2 linked regions of the Oreochromis niloticus genome follow. The protein of the gene in region 1 binds, or shares a complex with, the protein of each later gene. Links are inferred from orthologs where the notes say so. Each region holds a gene or a part of one and is shown in the gene's direction. Other genes may lie near its edges.

Evidence for each region.
Region 2: the proteins of nelfcd (region 1) and nelfb are in contact, whole or in part, in a crystal structure (PDB 8JJ6), measured with the Homo sapiens proteins. The link is inferred for Oreochromis niloticus from reciprocal best matches to the Homo sapiens genes NELFCD and NELFB. Residues at the interface, in XP_047296144.1 of Homo sapiens: Arg63, Ile66, Met67, Glu68, Pro69, Ile71, Phe72, Leu75, Ile89, Gln90, Leu92, Ser93, Tyr96, Thr97, Ala98, Val99, Ala100, Gln101, Thr102, Val103, Asn104, Leu105, Leu106, Trp109, Leu110, Gln112, Thr113, Gly114, Val115, Gln121; in NP_056271.3 of Homo sapiens: Met49, Leu53, Leu56, Val58, Ala59, Asn60, Gly61, Leu64, Lys65, Leu68, Thr69, Leu75, Ile78, Glu79, Phe81, Gln82, Glu84, Asn85, Gly86, Val87, Leu88, Leu89, Ser91, Leu92, Ser94, Ala95, Leu96, Pro97, Phe98, Leu99.

Annotation. Positions count from the first base shown.
Region 1 is NC_031970.2:24,670,173-24,680,052, forward strand, and holds the start of nelfcd (negative elongation factor C/D), read left to right. Parts: upstream 1-5,471; 5' UTR 5,472-5,641; coding exon 5,642-5,698; intron 5,699-7,138; coding exon 7,139-7,251; intron 7,252-7,335; coding exon 7,336-7,445; intron 7,446-7,542; coding exon 7,543-7,652; intron 7,653-7,790; coding exon 7,791-7,898; intron 7,899-8,816; coding exon 8,817-8,969; intron 8,970-9,108; coding exon 9,109-9,239; intron 9,240-9,359; coding exon 9,360-9,525; intron 9,526-9,615; coding exon 9,616-9,750; intron 9,751-9,831; coding exon 9,832-9,880. Other genes in the region: kdm5ba (lysine (K)-specific demethylase 5Ba), read left to right, coding at 1-100, 589-1,008, 1,169-1,259, 1,350-1,534, 1,650-1,913, 2,043-2,180. UniProt on the Homo sapiens protein: Essential component of the NELF complex, a complex that negatively regulates the elongation of transcription by RNA polymerase II.
Region 2 is NC_031977.2:1,193,661-1,203,050, reverse strand, and holds the start of nelfb (negative elongation factor B), read left to right. Parts: upstream 1-5,835; 5' UTR 5,836-5,873; coding exon 5,874-5,975; exon of another isoform or gene 5,976-6,287; intron 6,288-9,390. Other genes in the region: ectonucleoside triphosphate diphosphohydrolase 2, read left to right, coding at 2,124-2,351, 2,849-3,121, 3,504-3,623, 3,896-4,030, 4,127-4,333. UniProt on the Homo sapiens protein: Essential component of the NELF complex, a complex that negatively regulates the elongation of transcription by RNA polymerase II.

The DNA of each region.
Region 1 (9,880 bases):
GAAAGAAGCTCCACAGATCATTAAAAAGACTTCAACAAAACTGGACTCTGTGTGTGATGTAGAGAGAGCTCTCTCTGAGAGTAAGGACTCTGCCTCTGCTGTAAGTATGGCTGCATCAAATTTTCTTTTTCTCTAGTAGCTTTTTCAGTATAGTTAGGACTAAAAACTAGCTCTTGTATAGTTTCCTTTACTCCAGAATCTTTCTTTGTTAAGAAGTGCTGTTTTTTTTATAACTTATAAACAGATAAAAACTGATCTTTTTATTTATTCACTTGTTCTTCCTTACTCTGTCAGAGTAAATATTGTCTATCAATGTGCCATTTCAACCATTTAACCTATCCCAAGTATTAGAAGCAGTGACTCTGACTCTATCTTGGTCACCTTCAGCAGGTTAACCTAGCATTAAATGAGGTTTAGCAGGCACAAATCTGTGTAACGATGAGTGGAGGGTTCCTCAGAAAGTCAATGGGGGAAAAATATGATTTCCTTTATTAGAAGTCCCATCAGGGAAAGTTCATATATTAATAGAGGCATTGTTGTTAGGCTTGAGATTAGTCTTTAATTTCATCTAATTTTCTCTCCTCACAGATGACCACTCTCGCAGAGGTCCGACAGAGGGAGATGGAGATCTTACTGGCTCTGAGGTCTTCAAACGAGTCTAAGCTCCTTCCTGCTGAAAGCTGTTGTGCACTTAGTGTTTGTGTTTGCCAAAAGGCTCCCTCAGGAGCCATGATGCAGTGCGAGCTCTGTCGAGACATTTTCCACTGCGGTTGTGTTACAACAACCGCAGAACTTGAGTACGGTCAGGCCTGGCTGTGCCCGCTGTGCCAGCGGTCGAGAAAACCACCTCTGGACAAAGTCCTGCCCCTGCTGGCCTCCCTTCAGAGGATTCGGGTCCGCCTGCCAGAGGGCGACGCTCTGCGGTTCCTCATCGAGAGGACTGTGAGATGGCAGCACAGAGTCCAGCAAGCCTGTGCAGATGGAGTACTCGAGAACGTGTCAAAGATGGTCAGTGGCTTTTATTTTGTAAACATTGTTGATTTAAGTGAAGCATTTGTGGTCTGAATTATTGTAATTCACCATCAGGGGTCCCGTTTTCTAGACACCATCATGGAAACACTAGACACTGAGCATTTACAGCCACTGATGGCTTTTTTAATTGTTTCAGGTGAGAGTTGGACCTAGAGAGTCTTCACATTTGCCTCAGGAAAAGAGTGGGTCATCTTTTTATACAGAGCACCAGTCTGTTCCGCTCCACGGTAAGTGTCAAAGCTTTTTCGTCTAAGCACTCTCTGCAGTTTCACTTTTCACAGCAACTCTGATGCTCATTTTGTTTTAATTTTTCACAGGACTAAGTCCTGAGCTGGAGGAGCTGATGGTGGAGGGATTCCTGCTGCAGGTCACTCTGCCTGAGACGGAGCAGCTGTACAGATATCTACTCTACAAACTGGTCCCCCTGCCCTCACAGAGCCCTCCCTGTGGGAACAGCACAGAACAGGACCAGAAGTCTCCAAAAGGGAGCCCTCAACACAAGGTAACAACAGCTCCTACTAAGTTTACTACATTTAGATGATACTGTATGTCACACCAAATGCATTATGCCATAATGCTATTCTTTATTAAGTCCACCTTTCGTATGTTGTGCTTAGAATGGCGTGTCGAGTCTGAAAAAGGAGGCCGTGAACACTCAGAGCAAGCGGACCAAGCGGCGTAAGGACAGCTCCGATTCTCAGCACAGCGAGAAGGCCAAGAAGTGTCGCAAGAAAAAGCCCAAGAGAAGCAAAGAAAGGAGCGAAGAATCGAAGAGAAGCGGTTCGCCCACACACACGTCGTCTGACCCTGCTCTTTCAGATTCAGAAGAAGACTACTCGCTGTGTGCTGCACCGTGGTGCAGAGAGCCAGAGGGTGATGAGGTGAGTTTCATTAGTCTGCTGTATTTACACCAACTTATGTAAATATGGATCACTGACTTATGTGCCTGTTTAGTTGAAGTTTAAGAATACAAAGGGAAAATTTATTGTATCTCCTCTTGTTATTTTTAGGTAAACTGGGTCCAGTGTGACGGCAACTGCAATCAGTGGTTTCACCAGATCTGCGTCGGTCTGTCTGCTGAGCGTGCGGAGAAGGAGGATTATGTTTGCATAAGCTGCACACAGCCAGAATACAGCAGAGCAGAATAAAGACCAAAAAGTCATGTTGAAGGATGAGCAGATTTACTGCAGATGCTGCAGCACTTAAGTGCACACCTGAACTCTGTGTGTCCTGCGGCTTCTCCCCTTTACCTTCTGGCTTGCCCTCAGTGAACATGGTGCTACTTCTTTTTCCCCCAGAGTTACTAAAGACTTCTGTCACTGTTTTGTTTTTGTTTTGTTTTTTTCTCACATGGCTGGGTTTTCAGCCAGTCAACTAATCCTTTCTGAAACTTTCCAAGACTCGATGCAGATGTGGTAACATGTTTCAAGAACCAACAGCGCAGGGATTTTTCAACCAAAAAAATGTCAGTTTGACATTTTAGAACAGTTTGTTTTTCTTTTACATGCATCTGAACAATGTGAAACTTATCTTTTTTCTTGTAGAGTAAATATTATTTATCTAAGCAATAGCTGAACAGATTAATTGAAAGTTCAGTTTTCACCTGAGCTATATTTGTGCGTAGAAAAACTTTGATAAAATGCCTTCCGAAAGCAAAAACCCTGAAGAATTCACTTTATGAACCCTATGATACACAGTTCACTTCAAATTTGTGTACACGTCAAAACCGAAATGGATCAACGATCCTTTCACAAATCACTGACTTTGATATAAAGTCAGGTTTTCCTTCTGCGATGTCTGCAGAGGAAAGTAAAAGTCCTGGACCCCATATTCCTGCTGTTGGGTGAGACTCAATTAAAGCCACAAAGTAAGAATGAACTGTCCGACATCAAAGGAATGTACATGTTGTTTTTTGGGTGGATTTTCCCTTTATGGCTGAGGCTGATATATGTGTTGGACTTAGATTTAACACAGACTGTGTGATTTATTTTGCCACGGGTATATGACCTTTTTCCTGCTCCTTTGGGTAAATAATATAATTCATATGTTGCGGTTTGCATTATAAAATAAAACATTTGTTCCTGTACGGCTGGACTCCTCAGTACTCAGCGTTGAATACCATGAAAGTTAGTTTGTGGATTTTCAGCGGTTTTCTTTTTGTTTGTTTTTTTTTTAATTTTATTTTTTTCCATCCATTTTGGAAGAGGAAAAGATGTTCAGTGATCCTCAAGCCGGCAGGAAATGAACACAAGTCACAGGTAAACTGATCGCTTCAGAAACAGTCACTTCAACCTGTTGGGGAGACTTCAGAATTTATTTCATCGCCTTCGGTTAATAACTGAGCTTAAAGCATACTTCATTCAAACTTGAGTGAGGGGGGGGGAAACATTATTTATTTGTGATTGTTTAACAGACACAGGTATTCATTGCCACTCATATAATTAAATTCCTCATATGTAAATTCAATAAACTGCACAAAGAGCTCAGCATACACACACTATCACAGGCTCCAGTGTCTGCTGGCAAGCCAAAAATGAAATTCACTTGTGATTATGTTCTTTCTCGTGCACAACTTTTGACATACTGTTCCATAAAACTATTCTTTTAAAACCCAATAAAGGGTTGTTTAGTTGACTATCTTATTTTATTTGAACAGTTTGCAATTTAAGTCTATACTGTACTCTGAGGTTCATATGTTTAGATACACTAACTCTGTAAAAATTAATATATAGCCCTTACTTGTGGTCCATGCTAACGTACAGGGAACAGTATGCAACAAGATACAGGTAAGGAGGCTGTTGACCAAAGAAGACAGTTGTGCATGAGTCCGATGGCTGAGCCAACATGTATACATCACGGGTGGTCTTACTAAACATGTGGATGGAGTCTCCACCAGTTAGATTTATTAATTCTATTGAATGAAGTATAATAATAAAAAGAGTGACCTATGCAAGTTTTCAGCAGAGTCTGACCCAGTCTTTCAGAATTAAAAACAAAGTACTAACTTCTGCAATGTAGTATGTGACCAATAGAGGGCGCCAAAGTAAAAGCATAAATTACATCCATGTCAAGAGAAAGAAAATGACCACAAAAGAAAAACTAGTAGTATCCCTACTCGCATGTAGTTAATATGAGGGAAAGAAAGAAAAAGGATATAAACTGTTAATAACAAATGGTTACGTTTTTAAGAGGAGAAACGGCAGGAAGTCTTGTCTTCTAACCCTGGAAGTTTTGTGGCCTCTAATACAGGGATGTTAAACTCAATTTATATTAAGGGCCACATACAGCCCACTTTGATCCTTAACCGGCCAGACCACTGAAACCCCCCCTTTCTATTGGTGTAAAGATGATTACCTGCACATTTAACCCCTGAAATAGTTTAATATAAGAAGAAGAAGTGTTATTCTGACAGTATATCCTACATTTTCCACATGATATAGAAATTCTGCTGGAGGAAATGAAAGAAATCTTTCAGTGCTACACTTTGGGCTTAAATTTTAAGAAATGTGTAAAATTACAGAAGAAATTCTGGTAACTCAGCCCAGACAGTCTGTGTTTTCTCTAAGTAGACAAGGCAGGACGTGGATACTCTCACTTTTGACAGACTCACTTAGTGCACACTTAAAATAGTTTAGGCCTCTGTAATGCATGCATGCAAATCTAGAGAAACTATTTTCACATCCTGTAAAGCTTTACCATCTGCACCTTCTGTAATATTATATTTTCACTTATAATCTAGGAGATCATTTTTGTTGGTCTAATGCTATTTTACTCGACAGTCGTGTTGTCGGTTATAATGTGCATAATGTAATATGTGGACTTTTAGTGCCGTCAGAGATGCTCTAAACAGTTGTGCCAATTAAATGATCCACTTAGTTTATATCAGTAAGAAACTATTAAATAGTAAACATTCCTCTGGTTTTACAGAGGTCTACCTGAAGATAAATTGGTCACATGCAGTACTATGCAAATATTTTAATCACTCCTCATTTCTTTGTTTTCTTTCCAAGAAGCCAGCCTTTCTTTTGTTTTATTTCTTTTAAGTGCTCTTGAGCAATACTTCTTCTTTTTACCTTAACATTTTCAAAGGAATGTTTTTTTTTGTTTTCCTTTGTTAAACCACTTAACCCTGACCCATGCACTTCAGGAAGGCTGCAGAACTATTCCTGAAGACTACTTAAAAAATTATGAGAAAGCTTTCCTAAGAAATCTCAGATTGCAGTGATTGAACCAAATAGTGGCTTTCGAGCTCATTAGAATTGCACAAACTCAGTTTTTTCCTTATATGTTGTATTTCCATATATGTTTTGAAAGTTTAAATAAATCACCGCACCTTTTTCCAGTTTTCCTTGCAAAAGTTTACCATTGTACTAAACAAAGGAAACGCCATTCGGTTTGAGCCTAAAAGTCTAAACTCAGGGAGTGAACCCACGAATGGGGGCGTGGCCTACAGCCTACCGCCTCGCCATTTTCCTCCTGTGTTGTTGTTAGCTTGCTGGCTAAGCTGACTGTCAGCCCGGTTTCTGCAGTTAAACGAGTCAGTGCATGATTTAAATCCAACAGGTGTGTTATTGTAGCGGTTCCCAACGTCCCTGCTTTCCCCGTCACCATGGACGAGGAATATTACAGCGGTTCCGGAGACTGGGAAGGCACGGAGGGTAACATGGTGAGATCGCGACTTGTTGCTGTTTGGCTCTCGGTTAGCTAGCCAGCATTAGCATCGCTGGAGTCACAGCAGCTGATGATTAATTGTCAGACCTTTGTTATCTTTAGTATAAGAGCTGATGTGCTGAGACAAGTGCTTCAGGTACTCTAAAGATGCATTGTATAGTCTAAACTCAGCGGCTCGGCTACTTAGTTAGCCTGCAGCTGGCTAACAAACGACACAGCTGCTTCATGTTCATGTTACAAACTGGTGATCAACTCGCCATAGGTTAAAGTTTGTTTTATTTCTGACTAAAATATATGATAAAATAAATTGATAAAATATATTTTATCTCTGACTTGGATGACCGAAAACAGAATCGACTGTTTTGATAGTGTTCACACAGTCGTGGTCACAAAGGAGAAATCACACCTGTGTCAATTCTAAGGTTTTATATATCAGGACATGATAAAAATGGACCCACTTTGGGTCAAGCTTTAGCTGTTGGACCATTGGACTCTAGAACACTTTGGTATACAGAGGAGTTCATGGTTGACTCAATGTTTACAAGACGCTCAGGTCCTGTGGCTGCAAAACGAGCCCAAATCATCAGCCCCCCACCACGAACTTTAACCTTTAACATGATAACTGATCAAATCTGTAGTGTCTGAGATGTAGTTCTTGGGTTTTTGCAGTTCTTTTGAGCATGGCACGGTCTGACCTTGAGGTGAATTTGATGGTATGGGTTCTCTTGGGAAGAGAGACACCTGAATGCTCCAGAGCAGCAAACTGCCAGTACATTTATAGATGTGCTCACACAGAAACCTGGCTATTACTTACCCCCTTAAATGCCAGCGTGACCCCATTCAATCACAGACTGGTCGCAGCAAAACTAATGGAACTTTATCTTATTGGCTTAAAAAGATATTGATAAAGTTCAACTCTGATGATATAATTTATCGTATCGTGGCGTGTCTGGTGATTGCCACTTCTAGGAACGGATGATTTTTATTATATCCTCATATGTAAACTATGACTGTAGAAGTTAAGTTTGCCTGCAATATGGCACCTTGTTGCGTTTTTAGTGTGCATGTTTTTCAAACAGTAGTAAATCAGGATAAGGTGCGATAGTCACATAGACCTGTATTCAACTAAAAGAGACAAAAAAATAAGCTCAAAGTATGAGAGCTGTGTGTTTTAAACGTTGGGGAAACCTCTGCCTAGTTACTGAACTGCAGCACAAACCTGATATCTACATATCAGTGTCTTTTAACTTGGATGAATGTAAGGAAGCCTGCTCAGAATCTAATAATAACATCTTCTATAGCACCTGTCGATTCTCCTCTACCTTGTAGCTACACCATAATTTGTTACTATATGCAAATGAGAACTGGAGTATTACTTATTATTCCCAAGAAAGATGAATCACTTTAGAAGCATCTGCATCACCGTGTATTTCAGGAGGATGGTTACGGTGAAGGAGAAAATGATGGGAAAATCCAGGAAGCTTGCCTGGAGAAATTCTCCAGTAGGGATTACATCATGGAGCCTGCTATCTTCAGCACCCTCAAAACGTAAGTGTCTGCACTCTCATGTAAATGTAATATAAGTTTTGGTAAAAAGACATTTATTGATTAACAACCATGTTGTTTCTGCAGGTATTTTCAAGCAGGTGGCTCTCCAGAACATGTCATCCAGCTTCTCTCTGAAAATTACTCTGCCGTGGCTCAGACTGTTAATCTGCTGGCTGAGTGGCTCATCCAGATGGGTACCTATCAGACTACTGGTCTTACTGTTGTGTCAGAAAACTATTTTAAGTTTGTCTTACTGATGGCTTTTCATTAACGTGTAATGTAATTATTCAGGTGTTGAGCCTGCACAAGTCCAAGAACGAGTAGAAAATCACCTCAAGAGTCTTCTGATAAAACACTTTGACCCCCAGAAAGCTGATTCCATCTTCACCGTTGAGGGAGAGGTGAGATCTCTAAACACCCGGAGTAATTACACATATGACAAATGAAAGTGGTGAGAAACTTTGAGCGTGTTGTGCTTCAACACAACAACTAACTGAAGCTCAGAGAAACCAAACTAATCCAGTCTCCTGCCATTTTAGACTCCTGCTTGGCTCGAGCAGATGATAGCACACACAACGTGGAGAGATCTCTTCTATAAGCTGGCGGAGGCTCACCCAGATTGCCTGATGCTCAACTTCACTGTAAAGGTATAGTAGTGACTGTGGAAACAGTAAGAACAGCAGGAGCTGAAGATTAGGACATGAACACAAACTAACCAGTAGAAAGAGTCGAGTTAAAGATTTTAACTTTAAATTTGTTTCTGATGTTCTGTCATTGTCATTTACACTCATTGGACACATTATTAGGGACACTTTCCTTGAAGCCTTTGCCTTCAGAACTGCCTTAATTCTTCATGCCGTGAATTCAACAATGTGCTGGGAAAATTCCTCAGATTTTGGTCCACATTGATCCTGGCACCAACATCTGTGCAACGTTCAAAGTCACTTATATCAACTTTCTTTCTCATTCCGATGCTCAGTTTGATCTTCAGCAGGTTGCCTTGATCATGTCTACACACACTGATCTGCCATGTGACTAATATGATTTGTATGACCGATATAAGAATCAGACATTCAGAGACATTGGCATCTAATTTTTTTTTCAGACACATGAAACACAGATTTATCTAACATTTTTTTATGTGTAGTTTTTTATTTATTTGTATATGCTCTGCCCAACTCTGCAGGGATCAGTTAGATTTTGTCTTAGTGAGATCCCACAAAAGTATTGCCAGCAGGGAAGTTGCAGAGTGCCCTCTGGTGGACAAACTATGCAACAGTTAATGCCAATACCAATAGATCTGCAGAAAAGGTAATGTAGGCCTGCCAATAAATCAGTCTGGCTCTGCATGGGTTTGACTCATTAGTTATTTTTGTTAACAAGCAGCTGAACAGGTGTACATAAAAACATGGTCAGTAAGTGTATTGTTGTAATTGTAATTTACACGAATATGAAAATTCACCTTAATTTTATCATTTTTCCTTTTTTTTTTTTTATACATTTTTGCAGCTTGATGACTTGGACTGTCTCTGCTTCTTTTCAGTATTGTGTTTGTGTTTGTTTAGCTTATTTCAGACGCAGGTTACCAGGGCGAGATCACCAGCGTGTCCACAGCCTGCCAACAGCTGGAAGTTTTCTCTCGGGTGTTGAGAACATCTTTGGCCGCGCTGCTAGACGGAGGAGAAGAAAACCTGGAGAAGAACCTGCCCGAATTTGCTGTGAGGATTACTTTGCTTGTCTGTTTTGTCAACCTTTAAAGATCTGTAAAATATATATCCTTTTGTCTCAGTGTGCCACTTTTTTTAAAGTGCTGTAAGTAATGGTCTCTGATGAGCTGCGCCCGACTCTTTCCAACAGAAAATGGTGTGTCACGGCGAGCACACCTACCTCTTTGCCCAGGCGATGATGTCCATCCTCGCTCAGGAGGAACAGGGAGGTTCAGCTGTCCGCAGGATCGGCCAGGAGGTGCAAAAGTCTGCACATGAGAGGTAACGTTGTCATCTGATGTGGTCAAACTGATCAAGTGAATGTGATTAACTGTGAGATTAGAGTTTTGTGGATGAGCTTGAGTAATAAAAATGGTGCAATAAATGGGGTTTTTATTGCAGAGGTCACGATGCCAGTCAGATAACCCTTGCGCTTGGTACAGCGGCAGCCTACCCTCGAGCCTGCCAGGCTCTCGGTGCCATGTTGTCCAAGGGAGCCCTGAATCCTGCTGATATAACAGTTCTGTTCAAGATGTTTAGCAGCATGGACCCTCCTCCTGTCGAACTGGTGAGTTCAGAACATCCTTCCTGCTGTTTATGTCCAGTGCTTAATAACTAAAGCACATTGAATTTAAGCACTTGTCTGTCTTGTCTTTAGATCAGAGTGCCGGCCTTTCTAGACCTGTTTATGCAGTCGCTTTTCAAGCCTGGATCGAAGATCAACCAAGACCATAAACACAAATACATCCACATCTTGGCCTATGCTGCCAGTGTGGTGGAGACCTGGAAAAAGGTACAAAAAAACAATGATGCTGTGTGCGTTGCTAATTTAAATCGCATAATAATGAAACTGTTTATTTTATCCCAAATCCAGAACAAGCGAGTCAACATTAATAAAGATGAGCTGAAGTCAACCTCCAAGG
Region 2 (9,390 bases), on another chromosome or scaffold:
ACTTTTTCTTAATGACCAGAAGGATTATGGTCCATTAGTAAATCTACTCCCTAATGTTGGGTAAGAATAAGTGTACATCAAGTGTGAGATGAATACTGTAACTTTAACAGTTATTAAAGAACGGATACCATTACCACAAGGGTGGATACTGGAACAGTTTCTTGGTTTAGGACACAAACATTTACACACAAAATATACCCGAGGCTAATTGTAATGAGAAATTTTACACAGTGGTGACACTACATCAAATATTATGGGAATATTCTAGAAATATATTAGTGTCCATAATCTAGAAAAAATGAATTCCTATGCCACTTTAGCTCTATAGCACTATAGCTATTCCACTGGAATCCACTGGACTTACTGGTAGCTGCTGGGAGCATAGAAATACACTGGTAATTGACTAAGTGATGCTATTACTGCAACATGGTTGCATGACTAAATTTCTCTTACAGTTTTAGAGCATTCGAGTATGTTATTGGCAGTGATGGGAATAACGGCGTTACAAGTAACGGCGTTACTTTTTTCAGTAATGAGTCATCTAACTAATTACTATTCCTATCGTTACAACACCGTTACCGTTACTAACAAGAAAATGCGGTGCGGTCGCGTTACTATTTTTCAACAAACAGCCGGTTGAAGCTGTCTTCAGCTTACCGCATCTTATATCAGTTGCACGGAAGTAGCTGTCTACATAAGTAATCTGGGCGCTACAGCTTTAAGCAGCTGCGCGCGCTCCCGTGGATGGTAGTCACTTTCTGCCCGACGAACACTTTTTGGCACAACACCTGGAGCTAAGGGGACAAAACAATCGCATGAGTGCTGCTGTTTGACTGAGGAAGAATAAAGTAGTCGTGGTAAGCCAATCATATGACCACTTCAAGATGACAAAGCAACAAGGTGATATATACCAGTTTTTAAATTGTGTTGATAGGCCACGTAAAACCAGAGTCATGATAAACAATATATACGCGTGTTTTTTTTCCTGAATAGTTTCATCACGTTTACTGTCTAAGGACAGCGCTAGCAAGCACTCTCTGCTTATGAGCAAAAAACCAAAACAAAAAAACAAACAAAAAAAACCCCTGCCCTTTTGTGTTGGTGGAAAAATGTCGACCAATCAAAAAATGATATGGCAACATGACATTTGGTTGTTTAGGAAGAGTGGGAAGTTTTATGAGTGACGGCGAGAGAGAGAGAAAGAAAGACAGCAGAAAAAGAGAGAGAGCGAGTTTTGAGATGTGAGAGATTTGTGACGTTTGGCGTGTTTGGAGTGTGTAGTTAATGTGTTGTCTTGCGTAGTTAGTGTGTAGTGTTGTGGATAGTTTTGTGTTGTGTGTCAGAACAATCAGGTTACTGCTGTCTCCAGGTAGAGAACAGGAGTGATACACCTGCTGCTGTCAGACCTGCAGGAATCAGGCTGTGATGTTCTCCTTTATAGTGGACAGAAATATTTGGAGTGGCACAAATAATTTGTGTGGCCTCTTATTGAATGTAGAACAGCTGATTGTTCTGTAAATAGTTTGAAATGGTTATTTAAAAAAAGGGGTAAAAGGTAAATGGCTGCAAATAACTTTGTTGTTTGCAAAACTTGTGCATATGATTTTAAAATTGACAATTTATATTTGCATTTAAAGTTATGAAATATGATTCATTAAACATGTTTGTGGTTGTAAAAAAATATAACTTTTTTTCTACTCTGATTTTATGTTTTTTGTCTGATTTTAGATCAATTGTGTTAATACAGTATGTCAAAATGAAAACATAACTGTAAATTCAGACATGTGAGGTTGTGCTGAAAAGGATGATACCAAACAAGGCAAAGTAAATAGTTTTTAAAGGTGAAATGTAGAGGGAAAATCAAAAGTAGTGAAAAATGGCCAATTCTACCCTGGACCCCACAGGGTTAAACATTTTTTTAAAGTAACGCAATAGTTACTTTTCAAGTAATTAATTACTTTTAGAATCTTGTAACTCAGTTACTAACTCAGTTACTTTTTTGAAGAAGTAACTAGTAACTATAATTAATTACTTTTTCAAAGTAACTTGCCCAACACTGGTTATTGGTTGATTCTAAGTGATTCTAATTCCAATGTGGCGTCATGTCCTTTTTTATTACCCAGTATGGTTTTGTAGGTCACTGGATGAATCCAGGCAGAGAGACAATTGGAGCTTTGGATTTAGGAGGAGCATCTACCCAGATTACTTTTGAGACCTCTGAAAAGGTGGAGAATAAAAGTAACACAATGGAGTTGAAGCTTTTTGGAAAAACCTACAGACTATACACCCAGAGCTTCCTGTGTTACGGCCAAGACCAGTATTTAAGGAAACTGCTGGCTCATCTCATTAAGGTACTGTTCAACAAGTTAAAAGACTCTAACTGTTAATGGCAACCATTTCAATTGTAATCATCCCTGTTATAATGATTCTGTATCTTCTTAACAACTGAGAAGTTCAGATAGCAAGACCATATAAAACAGCATATGTAAACATGTTATTGTCTTGCTGCAGTCCTACTAAACAAAAAGGATGTTTGAAACACATCTCCATTAAACTTACTAAATAGATTAAGTTCACATTTGTTACATTTTGGGATCATATTGTTACATTCTTGCTAAGAGAGAGATGAAAGCTTGCCATAAAGATTGAACAGGAGAACTGCTAGCTTGTTAACCAAATTAAATTACCAGTCTTTACCAGTTTTAGGAAAATCAGAGTTGTTGCTACGAGGAACCTTAGAACAATGCAGTATCTGTGTTATGGATGGCTTTTATATGGTGAAATGATCTTTGTAAAAAAAATTATTAAAAAATGTTTTCTAATAAAATTTTAATCTTCTAACTTTAAGGATAACTATCAAAACAGCACAGTGTTCCACCCCTGCTATCCAAAGCAGTTCACCGAAAGTGTCATCCTGGGGAAGGACGTCTTTGATTCTCCGTGTACTGTGGACTCCAAACCAGACAAGATTGACCTGAAACTGAATGTAAAAGTTGTGGGCACAGGAGACTACCAAAACTGCTTAGAGAATGTAAAGAAGATGTTCTCCTTTGAGAATTGCAAATACTCCAAGTGCTCCTTTAATGGAGTCTTTCAGCCCAGCTTGAGAGGAAGATTCATGGTGAGAGGCTTTTAGATGTTGTCTAAAATATCCTATATTGAGGCAAAAAAGCATAGAAGCATAACGTAGACTCATTTGCTACGTTATGTATGCTCTTCACTGAATGAGCACTAATTTTTGCTTTCTGATATCCTTTCTTCTTTACACACACACACACACACACACACGCACCCACACACACTCCCACATACATTGATTGATTGATGATTGAAAATACTCCTAAACACTAAAAATGGAATGCATTACAGGCATTTGTATCAGGACCTAATGGATTGTACTAATGCTTCCTTCGTGGTTACAGGTCACATTTTTAATTCTGTCTTCAAAAACAGATGGGGGATACTTAACCTTCATCCATTGCACTATTCTTTCTTCTCCACAGGCATTCTCTGCTTTCTACTTCACTCACAAATACATCTCTACCCTCACCAACATGGATATGACGTCTCCTAATCAAACTGCAGAGGCTGTCCAGCGCGTCTGCAGCATGAGCATCTCTGAGGTACTGTCCATAAAGACTTTGAGACGTGTTGATCCTCACCATGTTACTCTAAGGCTCTAAAGTGACTGTTGACATATATCTACATATATTATCTATTATATATCTATCAATATCTCTGTTTCTGCACTTGTTTTTTATGAGTGCTTGATGTTTGTTGTATATTTCCGGCTTTGACAACTCAATTTCTCTCTGGGATTGATAAAATCTCTCTGATTCCGATGAGCTTTAAATAACATAATACAAAACCTCACACATTGTATTTTTACTTATAGATGACGAATAGGACAAAGCAGGATAAGAAATACATGAAGAATGTCTGTGCTGTCTCCAATTTCGTCCAGGTGCTCTTAACACAGGGCTACCATTTTGATGAGGTTTTCCTTCCTTCTATTTCTTTTGAAAAAAAGGTGAGAGGTGAAACGAAATGATTTGCTGGAATTTAGAAACTGATAGAATCCACAATATGATGTGATATCACTGCACCTCTTCTTGTGTTTCTGTAGGCCGGAGGAGCATCTGTAGGCTGGGCTTTGGGTTACATGCTAAACCTCACCAATCTAGTTCCAGCCGAAAATCCTGTAGTGATGAAGGCCCTGCCCATAGGGCCCTGGAAAGGCATCCTCTTCTTCTCCATCATCCTTATCTTCTTTGCACTGGGATACCTTCTCTTTGTCTACAGAAAAACAAAGGCTAATGAAGGAATGGTTTGAGAGCAAGGATAGCCAAGTTGAAGTAAATTTCTCTCAGGCAAAAAACCTTCAGTAAACACCTTTTTAATTTTGGCTTTTTATATTATGTAGCGAAAATCATTTTTAAAGTAAAGCTTACAAGTTTTGCTTTAGATTCACAAATTTCAGTAAATGTTCAGCTTACTCATGTCAGTGTGCACAAAATCCAAAATAAATGGGATTGTTTTTTAAATGTTCCAGACTCAATGTGCAATACAATACCACTTGTGATTAACTTGTCATTATTTAGCACTTTTCTAGTTTGAATGAGCACTGCAAGTAGCTTTTACTACAAGCTATAGTACATAACCCATTCACACACACATTCAGGCAGTCTATGAATGCATTTTCTATCACACACTCATACTATCTCTGAACAAATCAGGGACAACTTAAGGTTCAATATAGAACTGTGGCATACATACTCTAAGACACCACTAACAGCTAATGTGTCATTCAAAATAGCCATGTGCCTAACTGAAGGCTTTTGAAGACTGATGTGTTATCCATCCATCCATCCATTCGCTTCCGCTTATCCTTTTCAGGGTCGCGGGGGGCGCTGGAGCCTATCCCAGCTGTCATAGGGCGAGAGGCGGGGTACACCCTGGACAGGTCGCCAGTCTGTCCCACGGCCAACACACAGGGACAGACAATCATTCACACCTAGTGACAATTTCGATTATCCAATTAACCTATCCCCACAAGCTGCATGTCTTTGGACGGTGGGAGGAAGCCGGAGTGCCCGGAGGGAACCCACGCAAACACGGGGAGAACATGCAAACTCCACACAGAAAGACCCTGGCCTGATGGTGGAATTGAACTCAGGACCTTCTTGCTGTGCGGCAACAGTGCTAACCACCGTGCCACCGACTGATGTGTTATGTTTAAATTTAAAAAAAAAAAGTTGTTAGTTGTTTTGATGGAGTAAATCTTTTCGAATATGTTCAAACTTTTTTGTATGAGTCTGCAAACGTACTTTTTGATCTCTAGTTAAGCATTTTAAAATGGCTTTATATGAGACTTTAAATAAAACTTTAAATGTATTTTTCCGAGGTAATTATACTTCTACCACGATCTTTGCCACAATTGAATCCTCCCATGTATTTCAATTGAGAAGTTTGTGAGTACGGCGAATTTACGGTGGAGCAAAGGGAGTTTGAAATAGAGCAGACAGCGTCAGCTGAGTTCACCGCGAAAAAAAAACCACAGTATGAAAAGCAGAGACAGTAAAACACTTTTTTAACACTCGGTTTTACATCAGCTCTTTGTACGTTATGACTTCGCGCTTCTCCGCAGCTTGCAATCGAACCCCTTGATGCTCGCCCTTTTACCGCAGAGCACGCTGGAACGTTTCATCGCGGATGTTTCTGGCGGAGTGTTTACAAAGTTGCAACACAGGAAGCTCTCAAAAAGGCGAATGTGTTGTTTTCTGCAGAAGGAACTTACTTTTGTTGACTAAACTCCCGTCAGAAGACATCATTTGGACTTAGATCATTTAATTGATGCTTAAACTGAAAGCAAAATGTTCGCGGGGCTGCCTGAGCTTGGTATATCCAACGGAGAGGATCTTAAAGAAACTCTCACTAACTGCACAGAGCCACTGAAAGCCATCGATCAGTTTCAGGTAACACCCAACAGCTTAGTGCCTCGAGTGATAGAGTGTACATTTCGACTAACGGTAAATAAGCGTTCCCGGATTGATAAACAAACGATAACGTATGTTCTTAACCATCCAAAGCTAGTCACCGTTCTCCGTTGTTTCCTACTAAGCTATTTTCATCACTGTTGTAGCAATAAACAACAACAAAACAACACAGATTGCAAAAAGAGAAAGTGGGAGAAATGGTCAATGAAATTTGCTCTCCACTTCAAGTTCATATTTTTGAGCTAATATCCTGCGTTTAAAACTAATCAAAATGCAGGATATTCATCGCCTTCTCACCCTTTATTCCGATCTCTCCCGCTAGATCTGTGAAAGCAGGAGAGAGGATTGGAGATGGCAGACAATCTTTGAGCGTAATCTCACAATGCACAGAACGTGTGCCGTTCTGTTGTGGTGTTCGTTTGTGGTGTGTTTGGAGTGTTTGTTTTTTTTTTTTACCTCCAACTACCAACCTCTGTATATTTTATATATTTTATTTTATTGTTTACTCTATTTAATTTGTAAAATATGTATACACACACACACACACACGTAGAAAAACATATTTAGTATACACATCCAGTAATGCATATACTCTTATATATTGTACATATATTTATTACTTTCAGATTTAGCCATTCTTATATTTTGCTTGTTTTACGTTATTGTATTTTTGCACAACTCTGTTGCTTGTGAAGCTCGCACACAAGAATTTCATTCGCATGTACTGTACCAGTGTACCTGCACATGTGACGTGACAATAAAAGTGATTTGATTTGATTTGAGAGTAGGTGATATAAGTCGACGACAACTTAGAGCTTTAGAGAGTTTGAACTGCTATTTATTGTCTTAAATAGGTAATACAGTTTGAGGACAAAACCATAGACTGTATATGAAAAATGGGCATACTTTTGTCATGTGAAAATGTGAAAAGTGAAACCAGTAATCGTACTATTTGGCGTTTCGGTTTTATATCGGTGCTCAGGAGATAACCCAGACTGAATGGGCCCCATGGAGATGCAGCAAAAAACAGATTCCTGCCCCTGTCGTGATTTGTGCATTTTTTATTTTTGTTTTATTTATTTAGTTATTATTTTTGCATAGAAGAGGTTAAGAGGATTTAGTCCCATTTAAAAAAAAAAAAAAAAAAAAAAAAAAAAAGATATTTAAAAAGACTTGTAGTCAAGTCAATCTTCCTTAAGTATTAGGGATGTCACAGACACTCTTTATGGCAACAGTGGGAAGGAAAAACTTGTTTTTAACAGGAAGGAACATTGTATAGTGGGATTAAGAGTAATGGCTCTACCATATCTAAACCTGCATTCTTTTACATTGCCACCTTGGGGCAATACCTTTGGTTGTATAGACATGTATGGGAAAGCAACCATTAAACTTCTTTGATTTGTGGCCTCAATAGACACTTTACTGGGGGATTCATGGGCTCAGTATCTAGTTTCAGTTTTATTTAATACAGCCTGATATTCATGTTCCATTAGAGTAACTATGGAGGATAAAGCAGGATTTCTTTTACATGTGATTGACTAGTTGGTAAGATATGAGCATGCGGTGTCTCTCGATGGCACTAAACAGCGTGGTTCAGAACGTTGGATTGATAACTAACAGGTGATGTGGCTAACTCCATCTTTTGCACATTTCTGCCCCTGCTGATTTGTAAATTCCAGCTATGTCGCTTGTCCTTAAAATGGCACAGATGTAATAGTCTGGTGCAGTCAAAGAGATGAGCACTATCCATGCAGTGTCCACGAGAGTATGTAATCACTGTCTTATAAGGCCCGTTGCATGTGTAGTTTGTTTCATAGAAGAGTCTGTGTAGGTTCTCAGTCACCCAGGTCATGGTAATCTAGGAGCTTGGAAATAAAAGTTTCTTGAGGATCACCTTTCATCCAAGAAGCCTCTTCAGTTCAGGGAACTACTTCAGAAAACTGAAGAAGCTTTTTGGATGAAAGAATCATGAACAAAACATCTTCAAGAAACTTAAAGAAGTCCAGTGACTGTGAAACACACTGAACCAGTGATTGCCTGCAGTTTAAAACTGACTGGCAGGGATCCACCGAGCAGATCTCACTGATGTCCAGGTCATGAAGAGACTGGCTGTAGTAAAATAAGAAACACATTTTAATAAATGATTGTAAAAGTAGAAAAGTTAAAGTTTATCATCTTGTCCACATCTGCGGTGAATCTTTGAAATAAAATGCTCCAACATTTTTCCCTCCTGGGTCTCTTTTTTTTGTCCTCAGTTTTTTTTTTTTTTTTTTTTTTTTTTGGAGCAAACACATTTGTCCCTCAAGTTTTTCCACTTCTTTGTACATCCCCTCATGTTCCTTCCAATAGCTTCACCAGTCTTTGCTGCCTTGTAATGATGCTTTGTTTATTATTTCCTATATTGAGAAGATCATTGTTATTCTTTCACTGATAAATTAAAAGACTGCAGCCAAAAAGTAGCTAGAAATTTGGAGGAGGAATGAACAGTGCTGAAGTAAGTGTGATTTATAGGGCGGAGAATGTCAAGTTACAACATAGGTAATACCTTAGGTTTTCAGAGGTGTTACAATGTAAACTAAAATATAACATAATTAAAATAGAAATATCCTGTGTTTCTGTTTTTGTCAGTTTGACCAGATTTGCCAGTTCAACTTTCTGCATTAAACGGAGTCTATCTTATCAGAGCTTTAACAATCTTGAACATTTTCAGCTTGGGAACATGCCAAGGCAGTTTTATTATTTCCCCAGATACCAACCATTATGACAGAGCTACAGCAAATCAGTGATTTAATCAAATTCAGATTCACTTGCAACAAATTCAGTAACTGTTTATTTGAGTTTTTCAAGCACCAATCCCCAGCATTCACTGGTAATACTGAGTATTTGTGGCTTTGTCGGGTGTTTCTTTTTGTTTGTTTGTTTGTTTGTTTGGTTGGTTGGTTGGTTGTTTTTTTTTTTGGCATCATGCTAAGCTCAAAATAGTTAGGTTTTTGACTGGTCATCAGGGAAAAAAGGACATTTCCAAAGGCGATGGGAAAAACAAAACAGCCATCATCGAAATTACTTTGGTCAGTGATAACAATTTAAAAAATTTTTTAACAAAACATGACGTATTGATTGGATTTATTTTTTATAAGGGATTTCCCTAAACTTTATAATTCAGATGAATAATAAATGTATGGGGGAATATGAGAATAATTCTTCTACAGACATATATTCCTATTATGCATATAGTCTATGCCCATGTCGTGTAGCTATTTTGCACAGTTAAAGTTGATTTGTTATTCAGCTCTTAGTTCGGTTTCAAATCAAAATATTCAAAATGAAAACATGGTGTATTTCTTTTCCTGACGTGCTTAATTCTTTTTTCTGTTTACATTTTTAGGCAAAGAGT